2 linked regions of the Anolis sagrei genome follow. Each later gene encodes a partner of the first gene's protein in a complex. Links are inferred from orthologs where the notes say so. Each region holds a gene or a part of one and is shown on either strand. Other genes may lie near its edges.

The links. Proteins that work in one complex are often made in the same cells at the same time.
Region 2: the proteins of GPSM2 (region 1) and NUMA1 are in contact, whole or in part, in a crystal structure (PDB 6HC2), measured with the Homo sapiens proteins. The link is inferred for Anolis sagrei from reciprocal best matches to the Homo sapiens genes GPSM2 and NUMA1. Residues at the interface, in NP_001307967.1 of Homo sapiens: Ala28, Leu29, Glu32, Cys35, Lys36, Phe47, Lys59, Thr60, Ser62, Ala63, Ile64, Ser66, Gln67, Asn70, Ala71, Phe73, Asn110, Lys113, Tyr146, His153, Lys157, Pro164, Gln165, Arg203, Gly206, Asn207, Asn210, Tyr213, Leu214, Arg228; in NP_006176.2 of Homo sapiens: Ser1901, Phe1902, Tyr1903, Met1904, Gly1905, Thr1906, Cys1907, Gln1908, Asp1909, Glu1910, Pro1911, Glu1912, Leu1914, Asp1916, Trp1917, Asn1918, Arg1919, Ile1920, Ala1921, Leu1923.

What each region holds. Positions count from the first base shown.
Region 1 is NC_090024.1:112,850,055-112,857,514, forward strand, and holds the start of GPSM2 (G-protein-signaling modulator 2), read right to left. Parts: upstream 3,019-7,460; 5' UTR 2,922-3,018; intron 2,903-2,921; exon of another isoform or gene 2,694-2,902; intron 2,654-2,693; exon of another isoform or gene 2,634-2,653; intron 1-2,633. UniProt on the Homo sapiens protein: Plays an important role in mitotic spindle pole organization via its interaction with NUMA1. Required for cortical dynein-dynactin complex recruitment during metaphase. Plays a role in metaphase spindle orientation.
Region 2 is NC_090023.1:4,833,836-4,841,288, reverse strand, and holds the start of NUMA1 (nuclear mitotic apparatus protein 1), read right to left. Parts: upstream 3,018-7,453; 5' UTR 2,988-3,017; coding exon 2,974-2,987; intron 1-2,973. UniProt on the Homo sapiens protein: Microtubule (MT)-binding protein that plays a role in the formation and maintenance of the spindle poles and the alignement and the segregation of chromosomes during mitotic cell division.

The sequences.
Region 1 (7,460 bases):
AAACTAAACTGAGGGATGATTGGAAATAGGAGCTGGGAAGATGAAATGTATGTTTTCAGTGTCACCTGAAGGGTCCTCCCTCATAGATAACAATATTATTCTATAATTATTATGATATACCACTTTTCTCTCCATATAGAGACTCAAAGTGGCTTAAAACTAAAATCATTGCAATACAACTTGAAATATACAAATATACAAGTATTAAACTGGTATTAAAAATCATTAAAAGCATACAAAATTACAGCATACCCTGATGATCTTAAAAACCTTCTTTAAAAGCCTGCCTGAATAAAAAGGTTTTAACCTGCCACTGGAAGGATGGCAGGGAGGCGGCCATTCTGATTTCCCTTGGCAGGGAGTTCCAGAATCATGGGGCAGCCACCGAAAAGGCCACGAGCTTGACATGGATGTGGGACCAAGAGAAGGGCTTCTCCTCAAGATCTCAGGGCCCAAACATGTTCATACAAGGGGATGTATTTGGCCAAATAGCCTGGAACTGAACCATCTAGGGCTTTAAAGATCATAACCAGCGCTTTAAATTGTGACCAGAAAGAGACTGTCAGCCAGTGGAGCTGCTGCAACAGGGTTTGTTAACTCCCTGTAGCCAGCCCCAGCGAGAAACCTGGCTGCAGCTCTGTGGACCAGCTGAAGTTTTTGAGCACTCTTTAGAGGCAGCCCCACATAGAGCGTGATACAGTAATCCAGAGGGGATGTAACTAAGGCATATATCACTGTTGCCAGATCTGGCTTCTCAAGGAACTGGCGTAGTTGGCGCACACATTTAATTGTACAAAGACCCTCCCAGCCACCTGGGCCTCCAGGTTCAGTACTGAGTTCAGGAGGATCCCCAAACTGCAGGCCTGTGACTTCAGGGGGAGTGTGGCCCCATCCAGCACAGGCTGGATCACTATTCCCTGGTCTGCCTTCCGACTGACCAGAAATACCTCTGTCTTGTCTGGATTAAGTTTCAATTATTATCATCATCATTTTGCTGGTCATCTTCTGAATGTATTCCAGTTTGTCAATATCCTTCTTCAGCTGGGCTCCTCAGAACTGGGAAGGAGTAGTACAGCTCGGTGTCATCTGCATACAGGTTGTTTTGGTTTTTTTTGTCGTGTCAGGAGTGACTCTGGTGTGAGAGAATTGGCCGTCTGCAAGGACGTTGCCCAGGGGACGCCTGGATGATTTGATGTTTTTACCATCCTTGTGGGAGGCTTCTCTCATGTCCCTGCATGAGGAGCTGGAGCTGATAAAGGGAGCTCATCCGCCTCTCCCCGGATTTGAACCTGCGACCTGTCGGTCTTCAATCCTGCAGGCACAGGGGTTTAACCCACTGCGCCACCGGGGGCTCCTGCATACAGGTGGCACAATATAAATAAATAAATAGAGTAATGACAGCTTCCTTGGCTTTAGGTGGGAAGGAGTAGTACAGCTCGGTGTCATCTGCATACAGGTGGCACAATATAAATAAATAAGTAGGGTCAGGACAGCTTCCTTGGCTTTAGGTGGGAAGGAGTAGTACAGCTCGGTGTCATGTGCATACAGGTGGCACAATATAAATAAATAAATAGAGTCAGGACAGCTTCCTTGGCTTTAGGTGGGAAGGAGTAGTACAGCTCGGTGTCATCTGCATACAGGTGGCACAATATAAATAAATAAGTAGAGTCAGGACAGCTTCCTTGGCTTTAGGTGGGAAGGAGTAGTACAGCTCGGTGTCATCTGCATACAGGTGGCACAATATAAATAAATAAATAAATAAATAGGGTCGGGACAGCTTCCTTGGTTTTAGGTGGGAAGGAGTAGTACAGCTCGGTGTCATCTGCATACAGGTGGCACAATATAAATAAATAAGTAGGGTCAGGACAGCTTCCTTGGCTTTAGATGGGAAGGAGTAGTACAGCTCGGTGTCATCTGCATACAGGTGGCACAATATAAATAAATAAATAAATAAATAAATAGGGTCGGGACAGCTTCCTTGGTTTTAGGTGGGAAGGAGTAGTACAGCTCGGTGTCATCTGCATACAGGTGGCACAATATAAATAAATAAGTAGGGTCAGGACAGCTTCCTTGGCTTTAGGTGGGAAGGAGTAGTACAGCTCAGTGTCATCTGCATACAGGTGGCACAATATAAATAAATAAGTAGGGTCAGGACAGCTTCCTTGGCTTTAGGTGGGAAGGAGTAGTACAGCTCGGTGTCATCTGCATACAGGTGGCACAATATAAATAAATAAGTAGGGTCAGGACAGCTTCCTTGGCTTTAGGTGGGAAGGAGTAGTCCAGCTCGGTGTCATCTTCATACAGGTGGCACAATATCCCAAGGTACAGGACTCCAAGGAACATCATTATGTGGCTGCAGATATTACAGAATCCGAAAGCCAAAATACTTTTGTCCCCAAGTGGTTCAGGCTTGGGATGCTTTATCTGTAGATAATAACCCCAGCCACCTTTTGCAGAACATAGGTATGAATAGCCCAGCCACACTCCCGCCCTCGCCATTCAATGCTCCCTTTTCCAGCCTGTGAACCCCGTCTGGCTTTCCTCAAAATGGCTCCCCTTTTTCAAAGACCTCTTCTTCTTCTTCTAACCAGCACCGAAATACCAGGTGCCCTCCCTCCTCCTGTCCCTCGCACCCTCGCGGTGGAGTCTTCGGGTCCCGACGTTTGTTTCCCTCACGGCGCCCATTAACAGACCTTGCTCCTCCGCCGCCGCCGCCTCGGCCCGTGTCGCTCTCCTCAGCCACCCTGGACAGCCGCCTCACAGCCCTTCTTCCGCCTCGCGGGGCTGCCAATCATAACTCACGCTAAGCCACAACCCCCTCCCCCAAGGGTTAAAAAAAAGGAAGGCTCGTGCACCCCGAAGCCGTCTCAACCAATCGCATTACACCATCGAACTCTTTCCCCCCCCTCCCCTCATTGTACCTCGCGCCACCAAAAGGGTTGGTCCGAGCCAACCGCCTTCCTCCCGAACTGCGCATGCGTCCTGCAGGTTTGGCTTCTTTTTTTTCCCTCCCTAGTCTACGAGACGTTTTGTACGCTAAGGAGGGCCGTTCCTGCTGAACCACGCCCCCGCTCGCGCGCATCTTTCGCATTGGCCAATAGGAACGCAAGGAGGCCTTTCTCCTCGTTCTTGAATTCCCTCAGGGTTGGAGGGGGAGTCACGTGCGGCGTTACTCGGATCCGGATTGGACGGAGAAGCGCGAGGGCGCTGAGGTATTTTGTGGAAGGTTTTGGACCAGATGGTCCTGTCGTCTGGCGGCCCAGTTATAGTGGTTCGAGCCGTGGAGTACGGCTCTGGAGGCCCCATTCTCCTATGGAAACCCACTGGGTGAGGCAGACTCAGAAAGCCCCGTGACAGAAAAGTTTGGAAGGCATTTAACAACCCCCCAACGTTTTCTCCACAGAGATTGCTAAGACAGGTTTGTCATGGCCTTCTGATGTTGAGCAGGTCTGGCTTGACCAAAGTCACCCAGTCCTGTACCTTGGGATACCATTGCCTATGGCCTCTTCCATACAGCTGTACAAAATCCACGTTGAACTGGATTATATGGCAGTGTGGACTCAGATAACCCTGTTCAAAGCAGATATTGTGAGTTATCTGAGTGGCAGTGCCCTCTTAGAGTCAAAGAGTTGGAAGAGACCTCATGGGCCATCCAGTCCAACCCCCTGCCAAGAAGCTGGAATATTGCATTCAAATCTCCCCTGACAGATGGCCATCCAGCCTCTGTTTAAAAGCCTCCAAAGAAGAAGCCCCCACCACACTCCGGGGCAGAGAGTTCCATTGCTGAATGGCTCTCACAGTCAGGAAGTTCTTCCTCATGTTCAGATGGAATCTCCTTTCTTGTAGTTTGAAGCCATTGTTCCGTGTCCTAGTCTCCAGGGAAGCAGAAAACAAGTTTGCTCCCTCCTCCCTGTGGCTTCTTCTCACATATTTATAAATGGCTATCATATCTCCTCTCAGCCTTCTCTTCTTCAGGCTAAACATGCCCAGCTCCTTAAGCCGCTCCTTGTTCTCCAGACCCTTGATGATTTTAGTCACCCTCCTCTGGACACATTCCACCTTGTCAATATCTCTCTTGAAGGGAGAATGCTTCAGGAGACACTGAAAACATACATTTCATATAAAGCCCCAGCTCCTATTTCTAATCATCCCTAAGGCCCCTTCCACACAGCTGTATAAAATTCACATTGAACTGGATTGTGTTGCGGTGTGGATACGGATAATCCAGTTCAAAGTATATTTTGTGGCAGGCCCGTACCTTAGCAAACCTTTTGTATTGTTACCCCAATACCCCCATGCATATGAGATATATTGAGCAGGGTGATCAGATCATGATATAAATAAACATAACAGTTTAAATAATGTACCAGTAAGGCCTTTTCGCAGACCATCATGAGAATGAACGGTGGGCCCTCCTGCACAACCATATCACCCAGAATATCAAGGCAGATAAGCCACAATACAGGCATGTGGCCGGGGGGGGGGGGGGGGTTGGGGGGCTTCACCAACCCCCCCCCCCCCCGTTTATTTCTGACTTTTTGTGGGTTTGATGACACTATGGAACACGATTTTTGTTCCTGGGTCATAAATGTCATTTCCTAATTGGTTATATCATAAAAACAGAAGAAGTGTATTAAACTGAAAAAAACTTTGTCTTTGCAGAACATTCTGCAGCACATTTTTCTCTAGTCACCATCATAGAATTATAGCGGCGGAAGAGACCACATGGGGTATCTAGTCCAACCTCCTGCCATGCAGGAAAAGCACAATCAAAGCACCCCTGACAGATGGCCATCCAACCACTGTTTAAAAGCTTCCAAGAAAGGAGTTCCACTGCTGAACAGCTCTTACAGTCAGGAAGTTCTTCCTTGTGTTCAGGTGGGATCTCCTCTCCTGTAATTTGAACCCATTGCTCCGAGTCTTAGTCTCCAGGGCAGCAGAAAACAAGCCTGCTCCCTCCTCCGTATGACTTCCCCTCACATATTTATATATGGCTATAATGTCTCCTCTCAGCCTTCTCTTCTGCAGGCTAAACATACCCAGTAATTGAAGACGCTCCTCATCGGGCATGGTCTCCAGACCTTTGATCACTTTAGTCGCCCTCCTCTGGACACCTACTAGCTTGTCAATATCTCTTTTGAACTGTGGTGCCCAGAATTGGACACAGTATCCCAGGAGAGCTCTAACCAGAGCAGAATAGAGAGGCACTATGATTCCCCTGGATCTAGATACTATACTCCTTTTGATGCAGCCCAAAATCCCATTGGCTTTTTTAGCTGCTGCATCACACTGTTGGCTCATGTTCAACTTGTTGTCCACAAAGATTGTTAGATCTTTTTCACATGAACTGTTGTCGAGCCAGGCATCACCCATTCTGTATCTTTGCATTTCATTTGTTCTGCCTAAGTGTAACATCTTACATTTGTCCGTGTTAAAATTCATTTTGTTGCTTTTGGGCCAGTTCTCTAATCTGTTAAGGTCATTTTGAATTCTTATCCTGTTGTCTGGAGTGTTAGCTATCCCTCCTAATTTGCTGCAATCTGCAAATTTGATGAGCATGCCCTCTAAACCTTCACCCAAGTAATTAATAAAGATGTTGAACAGTACTGGGCTCAGGACCTAACCCTACAGCACTCCAGAAGTCACTTCTTTCCAGGGTGAAGAGGAACCATTGGTGAGCACCCTTTGGGTTTGGTCACTTAACCAATTATAGATCCACCTAATAGTAGCTTTGCCTATCACACATTTGACTAGTTTGTTTGCAAGAAGGTCAGACCTTATTGAAGGCCTTGCTGAAATCAAGATATGCTACATCCACATCATTCCCTGCATCTTCTAAGCTTGTAACTCTATCAAAAAAAGAGATAAGATTAGTCTGGCATGACTTGTCTTTCAGAAATCCATGCTGACTTTCAGTAATCACAGCATTTCTTTTTAAGTGATTGCAGATTGCCTCCTTAATGATCTGCTCCAGAATCTTTTCTGGTATTGATGTCAAGCTGACTGGATAGTAATTGTTTGGGTCCCCTTTTTCTCCTTCTTGAAGATAGGGACAACATTTGCCCTCCTCCAGACTTCTGGGACTTTTCCAGTTCTCCAAGAATTCCCAAAGATTATTGCCAGTGGTTCTGAAAAGGCTTCAGCTAGTTCCTTCAATGCTCTTGGATGTAGTTCATATGGCCCTGATGACTTGAATTCATTTAGAGAAGCCAGGTATTCCTGGACTACTTCTTTACTTATTTTGGGTTGCATTTCCCCTATTGCCTCAGCCTCTTCGTATTGCTCAAGTTGAACACAAATCTGCTTTTGGAAGAAGACTGAGGCAAAAAAGGTGTTGAGGAGCTCTGCCTTTCCCTATCGCCATGGTAGGGGCACCATAAGTTGGAAATAACTTGAACAGAACAAACCCGTTGATAATGTATTTTTGATAATTTGCCATTGTGTACCTTCTCTATGTTAGACCAGAGCTGTACTAAAAGAAGTGGCCTTTCAAACAATGATTGTGTACTCCTTGAATCTGGAAGATCCTATCAATTTTTCTCTTGAATACCATGGAGCTGCCCAAAGATGGGTACCATTTCCTGAGACTTTAATTTTATTGATATTGGTGTTAAACAAACAATGCTACTGTAGTTTGCTGTAGCCTTGGAGACATTTTCACTGCCACTATTAAAAAAATTAGAAAACATTTTCCCCTTGAAATGTTTGAAACTGAAGCTCCCACAATTCGTACCTTTAGCCATTCTGGCTGGATCTTCTGGAAGTCTGAAAGAGCTGAAGGGCCATCATTGTTTTTCTCTTATCCTAGATCTCAACAGAAAGCAGAAATTTAAAACGTATCCATATGCATTGAAGAACATGTGTTTTGTTCATGGCACATGTATATTGCTTCCTTTCTCCCCTCTTATACCTCCAACAAAAGGTGTGGCCTGGGGGGCAAAAAAAATCATTAGTTGGAGGAATATTTATTAACCTGCTAGGGCCAGAGGACAGTTTAGGATAATTACAGCTGTTGACTTGAAACTCTTGGCAAGAGGTCAAAATATTTACTTGTGGGAAGATACATTGAGATGGGAACACCCTTGTAATTTTCTTTCAGCTCATGGAATGTGCTTCTCACAACGCCTGTTGATCTGATGGAACCCATCAAAAGAAACTGTAATGCTGACTACAGGCAACACTAGTCAACATCAAGGCTTGTTTTGATGGGTTGGATGAGAGAACCACTTATTACTGTAGAGTTTATTAAATGTTCAGCAGGATTCCCAGATGCTTGAAACCAAACACTACTTTTTCCCATCAGCAATGTGGGACAGCACTTCTTTTTTTGTACCAAGGGTACAAGATAAACCTCCGTATCTGCTTTCATTCAGGGTGCATCAACACTGTAAAATTAATGCAGTTTGACACCACGTTAATTGCCATGACTCAATGCTATGGAATCATGGGAGTCCTACTCT
Region 2 (7,453 bases), on another chromosome or scaffold:
TTCCTAGTTCCAACAGACCTCACTACCTCTGAGGATGCTTGCCATAGATGCAGGCGAAACGTCAGGAGAGAATGCCTCTAGAACTTGGCCATATAGCCCGAAAAAACCTACAACAACCCAGTGATTCCGGTCATGAAAGCCTTTGACATACATTAAAACTCAACAGCTACTGATTGGCTTGAGCACATGCAGTTGCACTGGAGGCTTCTAAGAAACATATGGTTGTTCATTTCACTAATTCTAACAATGTAAGAAAGACAGTCATCCAGGTCCCCATCTAAAAATTGACAAATAAGTAGTATCTTTACTAGGCAACAATCAAAATCCACACGGCCTTTCAGGACCTACAGAATTTTGACAAAACAGTCCACTCTCATTTCTGCCTAGCTGAAGAACAGAAGAGTCATGCAGATCCATAAAACTAAGTCTATGGCTAAATGCTTAAATATCAGGTCACTTGAAATAAAAGAAAATGGGGCCCAAGGAAGAGGAAAGAATTGGCTTGCTCGCCCACAACAATTAAGTATATGGGGAAAAAGAATTGGGGTGCAGGTGGGTGTAAAATAGAGTGGCAAGCAACACTTATCTCTATTCCAACTTTCTCCAAAAATTTCTTTCTCCAACTTTCTTACAAGATGCACGGTGCACACATTAAATAAAAACGTGTCATAAAGAAAGGAGAAAACACTTTCTTCCTTTCCTACTTTTAGGAACAACATTCACAAAAGATGAAAGAAATAATAATAATAATACTTTATTTATATCCCGCTACCATCTCCCTGGCTTACATGAGGCCGAGGCCATAGAACAACAATAATTAAAGCAATCACAAAACATCAATACAAAACAATCAAAATAATCTCATAACAAAATAAACAATAAACAGTAACAATAAACAACAAGCATTTAAAAACTTATGGCTGGGCCAAATGTGATAATTAAAAATTAAATAATAATAATAATAAAATAAAAATACCCATGTGGGAACAAGGAATCCCTTAGCATGGCTCACTTCATGCATCTGAAGAATTAGATGCACAAAAGCAGGCACCACAGTAAATATATTAGCTGTCATGACAGTCTTGCTGTCCTAGTGCAATATGTTAGAGCAGGGAAGGTGGCAGGGGCATCTTTTAGGCATTCACTCCTTCTGAAAACCAACTATCACCCGCTCTGTAGTGACAACCACAATGCTTTCCTGTCAAAGCCGTCAATCATTCTAGAGGGCTACAATTCACACAATGCTGCCTGGAGCTTCTGGAAGCTGAGAGCAAATCATCAGGAGGACCAAAGGTTCATTACTAGCTGTCAGGAGAAGGGATTCAGTGTGCACTTTGTCGCCCTCACACTTGTTTCTTTGCTGTTTATGAAGGACAATTCACACAGCAACAGGGCTGTAGCAAAGCAGTAGAGTCTCGCTTATCTAACATAAATGGGCCAGCAGAATGTTGGATAAGCGAAAATGTTGCCCATGCCTGCTCTACTGTAACTATCAATTAGACGCAAAAACATCATGCGGAAACTTACTGGCAGCACATGGGGTGCAGACCCAAAATTAGTACGGACATCAGCCGTGGCCTTGTCTGACTCAACTGCCGAGTATACCTGCCCTGTTTGGCATAGGTCTGCCCATGCAAAGCAGGTGAACATAGCATTGAACGAAAGATGCAGAATTATCCCAGGATGTCTTAAACCTACACCTGTTGATAAACCCTACAAGCTAGATCATAGAATCAAAGAGTTGGAAGAGACCTCATGGGCCATCCAGTCCAACCCCCTGCCAAGAAGCAGGAATATTGCATTCAAATCACCCCTGACAGATGGCCATCCAGCCTCTGCTTAAAAGCTTCCAAAGAAGGAGCCTCCACCACACTCCGGGACAGAGAGTTCCACTGCTGAACGGCTCTCACAGTCAGGAAGTTCTTCCTAATGTTCAGATGGAATCTCCTCTCTTGTAGTTTGAAGCCATTGTTCCGCGTCCTAGTCTCCAAGGAAGCAGAAAACAAGCTTGCTCCCTCCTCCCTGTGGCTTCCTCTCACATATTTATACATGGCTATCATGTCTCCTCTCAGCCTTCTCTTCTTCAGGCTAAACATGCCCAGTTCCCTAAGCCGCTCCTCATAGGGCTTGTTCTCCAGACCCTTGATCATTTTAGTTGCCCTCCTCTGGACACATTCCAGCTTGTCAATATCTCTCTTGAATTGTGGTGCCCAGAATTGGACACAATATTCCAGATGTGGTCTAACCAAAGCAGAATAGAGGGGTAGCATTACTTCCTTAGATCTAGACACTATGCTCCTATTGATGCAGGCCAAAATCCCATTGGCTTTTTTTGCCGCCACATCACATTGTTGGCTCATGTTTAACTTGTTGTCCACGAGGACTCCAAGATCTTTTTCACACGTACTGCTCTCGAGCCAGGCATTGTCCCCCATTCTGTATCTTTGCATTTCATTTTTTCTGCCAAAGTGGAGTATCTTGCATTTGTCACTGTTGAACTTCATTTTGTTAGTTTTGGCCCATCTCTCTAATCTGTCAAGATCGTTTTGAATTCTGCTCCTGTCCTCTGGACTATTGGCTATCCCTCCCAATTTGGTGTCGTCTGCAAACTTGATGGGAAGTTGCTGCTAAATTTAAGAGAAATAAGGTTGAACACTGTGAAAGCCACCCACTACATGGCTACCAGCCTCCTCCCAGTAGACTCAAATCAAGGAAAAGCTTTATGGGAACTACCACTCCTCTTGGTGTCCCTCCAGCAACAGCAAGGGTATCCCTCTGGGCAGCTAAACCAGGAAATCCCAACTGGGTGCCCCCCAGTTGGGAATGGTGGGAGTTGGAAGTCCAAAACACCTGGAGGGGAGGGCCGAATTTTGCCTTGCAGAAGGAACAAAGGGAGGCCTCTCCTTCAGAGGAAGGACCAGGAAGCCTTCATAAGGAGTCCAGAAGGAGAAGGCGCGGGAAAGGCAAACAAACCTCCGAGGCTTCATCCTCAAAGACTGCTAAACTGCCTGGCTGTATGTTGAGGCCTTCCTCCCTCCCTCCCTCCTCCTGGCTTAGATTAAGAGGAGGAAGGCCCGTCCAGGCAGGCAGGCAAGTGCCCGGATGTGGAAGGCCCAACTGCGCTCGCCTGAGCCTCCTCCTCTTCCCAAGGAGAGAGAGAGGGAGGGAGGGGGAAGCAATTAGGGACGGACACAGGCAGGAGCCCCCTCTTTATTTACTTCCCTCCCTCCCTCCTGAAACAACAAGCAAGCACCCCCCCCCCCTTTGCCTTTGTCCAGGCCTTACCGGAGTAGCAAAGCCAAACAGTTTTTCTTTCTCTGGGCGCCAAATGTTTAATCCGTCATTAGCGTTTGAAACCTGGAAGAGGAGGAAGGAGGGAGGAAGGGCTGGAGGGTGGCCAAGGCGCGCGCAGGCGCCCCAGGAAAGAAAAGTTGTTGCTCAAGGCCCGCACAAGCCCCGCCCCCTTCTCCCTCCAGCCCCGCCCTCCTTCCCTAACCCCGCCTCCCTCCCCCCCAAGACAGGCGAGGTGCCAGCTGACGTCACAGCCAATAGGCGCAGGCCAGGCCAGAGCCCGAGTTGGGCCTAAAGAAGCTTGCAGGAGGAAACCTCCTCCAGGTTTATTTATGAACCAGAAGCAGAGGAAAGAAAGGGACCTTACAGGCCATCCAGTCCAACCCCATTCTGCCAAGAAGCAGGACAATCGCATTCAAAGCATCCCTGACATATAGCCTCTGTTTAAAAGCCTCCAAAGAAGGAGCCTCCACCACACTCCGGGGCAGAGAGTTCCACTGCTGAACAGCTCTCACAGTCAGGAAGTTCTTAGAATCATAGAATCAAAGAGTTGGAAGAGATCTCATGGGCCATCCAGTCCAACCCCATTCTGCCAAAAAGCAGGACAATCGCATTCAAAGCACCCCTGACAGATGACCATCCAGCCTCAAAAGAAGGAGCCTCCACCACACTCAGGGCAGAGAGTTCCACTGCTGAACAGCTCTCACAGTCAGGAAGTTCTTCCTTGTGTTCATAGAATCCTAGAGTTGGAAGAGATCCCATGGGGCATCCAATCCAACCCCATTCTGCCAAAAAGCAGGACAATCACATTCAAAGCACCCTCGACAGATGACCATCCAGCCTCTGTTTAAAACCCTCCAAAGAAGGAGCCTCCACCACACTCGACTACACTCCCTGGTAGAGAGTTCCACTGGGTTGTTGTAGGTTTTTTCGGGCTATATGGCCATGGTCTAGAGGCATTCTCTCCTGACATTTCGCCTGCATCTATGGCAAGCATCCTCAGAGGTAGGGAGGTCAAAATGTCAGGAGAGAATGCCTTTAGACCATGGCCATATAGCCCGAAAAAACCTACAACAACCCAGTGATTCCGGCCACGAAAGCCTTCGACAATACAGAGGGTTCCACTGCTGAACGGCTCTCATAGTCAAGAACTTCTTCCTAATGTTCAGGTGGAATCTCCTTTTTTGTAGTTTGAAGCCATGGCTCCATTGCACCTTAGTCTCCAGGGCAGCAGAAAACAAGCTTGCTCCCTCCTCCCTATGACTTCCTCTCACATATTTATACATGGCTATCATGTTTCCTCTCAGCCTTCTCTTCTTCAGGCTAAACATGCCCAGCTCCTTAAGCCGCTCCTCATGGTAATCAAGGTGACCAATTAAAACATTCACACCTAGCTCCAACAGATGTTATTTATTTATTTACTATATTTCTATACCACCCTTCTCAGCCCAAGGCCAACTCAGGGCGGTTTACAAAATGGCACAATTTGGTGCCACAATAATATAAAAACAGCTTAAAGCATATAACACACATAAAAGTCCTTAAAGCATATAACATCCATAAAAATGCATATAACATACATACAGGAGCCCCCGGTGGCGCAGAGGGCTAAAGCACTGTGCCGGCAGGACTGAAGACCGACAGGTCGCAGGTTCGAATCCGGGGAGAGGCGGATGAGCTCCCTCTATTAGCTCCAGCTCCTCATGTGGGGACATGAGAGAAGCCTCCCACAAGGATGATAAAGCATCAAAAATCATCCAGGCGTCCCCTGGGCAACGTCCTTACAGACGGCCAATTCTCTCACAACAGGAGCGGTTGCTCCTGACACGACCAAAAAACATACATAAACAGTAAAATCAATAAATGCATAAATCCTCCACATCTCAATACCCAATCGTTATACGATCACAATTGTCCAGTCGTTTCGAGGTCAAGAAGTTATCTGCTACACTGCATTTGAGAAAGCCTGCTCACAAAGCCAAGTTTTGACTTTTTAACAAAATATTAATAATATTAAGAGCTCCCTAATGTTCCTAAGGAGAGGTTTCCACAGCCGAGGGGCCACCACAGAGAAGCCCCTATCTCTCGTCCCCACCAATCGAAGCTGTGAAGAAGGCAGGACCAAGAGCAGGACCTTCCCAGAAGATCTTAAATTCCTAGATGGTCATAAAATATGAGTTCTTTCTCCGACCCTGGACATTCCACAGATATATCAACCCCATTTTCCTAGTTTTCAACAGACCTCTCTCAACCTCAGAGGATTCCTGCCATAGATGCAGGTGAAATGTCAGGAGATAATGCTTCTGAAGCATGGCCAGACAGCCCAGAAAACTCACAACAACCCAGAACCAGGTTTAGTTATAAACCAGAAGCAGCTAAAAGAAAGAAGACTCCCCACAAGGCCATTCGGTCCAACCCTCTTCCTCTAGGTAGGAATGCACACAATCCAAGCCCTCCCAAAATATGACTGTTGTCTGTCACTTTCGCAAATAACAGAGAGGTCCAAGCTAAGGCACCATCTAAGGTAGGTATGGGCAAACTTCTGCCCTCAGTGTGTTTTGGACTTCAACCCCAGCAATTCCTAACAGCCGGTAGGGTGTTAGAAATTGTGGAGGTTGAAGTCCAAAACACACGGAGGGCAGAAGTTTGCCCATGCCTGATAAGGCCTCACTGCAACACAGAGGTCACCTCAACTACTGCAATCCAAGGCAGAGACATCTCCAGCTCATCCCCTGTTTGGGTATCAGCCAGCACGTCAACGACTTAAATCAAGAAAGAGTTTTCTAAGATCTACAGAGACACTCGCTGGAACACCTCTGCAAGCAAGAGTCCAAAAGTGGCAGGCTCAAACCCAGAACCTCAACCAATGGCTGATACCAAATGAGACTCCCCCATGGGCACACGGAAAACTGGGCAACTTGGAAGGCGCTGAACAGACTGCGCTCTGGCACCACGAGATGCAGAGCCAACCTCAAGAAATGGGGCCACAAAGTGGAACCCACGACATGCGAGTGTGGAGAAGAGCAAACCACTGACCACCTGCTGCAATGCAACCTGAGCCCCGCCACATGCACAATGGAGGACCTTCTTGCAGCAACACCAGAGGCACTCCAAGGGGCCAGATACTGGTCAAAGGACATTTAATCAACTACTAAGCTTGCAAACTCTTGTTTTGTCTGTTGTTAAAATTTTAATACAATTGTCTGGTTGATACTGACACGATAAATAAATAAACTTCTGCAATTAACAGGTCGGTATAGTAATACCCGCAGTAGACCCTGACACAAGTTGGCCCTGCAATTAAGACTTAAGGAGTTGGAACTTGGTTAACATAAACATAAGGCAAGTGAGTTACTATATTTCCTGCTAATCGCTTAAACAATAAATAAATAAACTGATGGAATATAAAGACTACCCCTGGAAGATAAGAAGCAATTCATTTTAAATCCCGCTTGGGTTTTTTTTTTCTTTTCTTTTGCTGCCTGCTGAACTGCAAGACATCCCTTTGCAGGCGCTCATTAGAAACAGCTGTTTGAAAGAGGCACATTCCTGCAAGGGCCCCAGGGACCTTGAACGCCGCCCAATCTGGCAAACCCTGCAAGGAAAGGAGGCCACAGAGAAAGAGAGGCCTGCTTTGCCTCTTGCTAGGACTGCCCTCCAGAATGAGATAGCGAGGCCCGGTGTGCTCTGAGGCTACAACAGGTCCATTGCTTAAAGCAGAAGTCAATCGCATTCTCTGCTCTCTTGGCACACACTCAAGAGACTTTCCCTAGCAGAGAAACACATTGCCGCCCTATTTCAAAGGTACCTTACATTAGCTGAAATGCCGATAACGAGGAGTTCAGCTTTTTGAAACCAGTTCATAAGGTTGGGGAGTAAAATCTCAACCACTTTTTAAATTTGAAAGTTCCCCCTTAGACAATACTCTTGGTCTGTGACCGTAACAATAAAATTAATTCATATTACAGAATCTCTTTAGCATCTATATAAATAAAAATGCAATGTTCGTCTGTGGGATTAACATAACTCAAAAACCACTGGATGAATTGACACCAAATTTGGACACAATACACCTAACAGGCCAACAACTGACCATCACTCATAAAACACTGGAAAACACAGCAGAAAACACTTAAAAAGCCAAAAGACAGAAAATGCATTA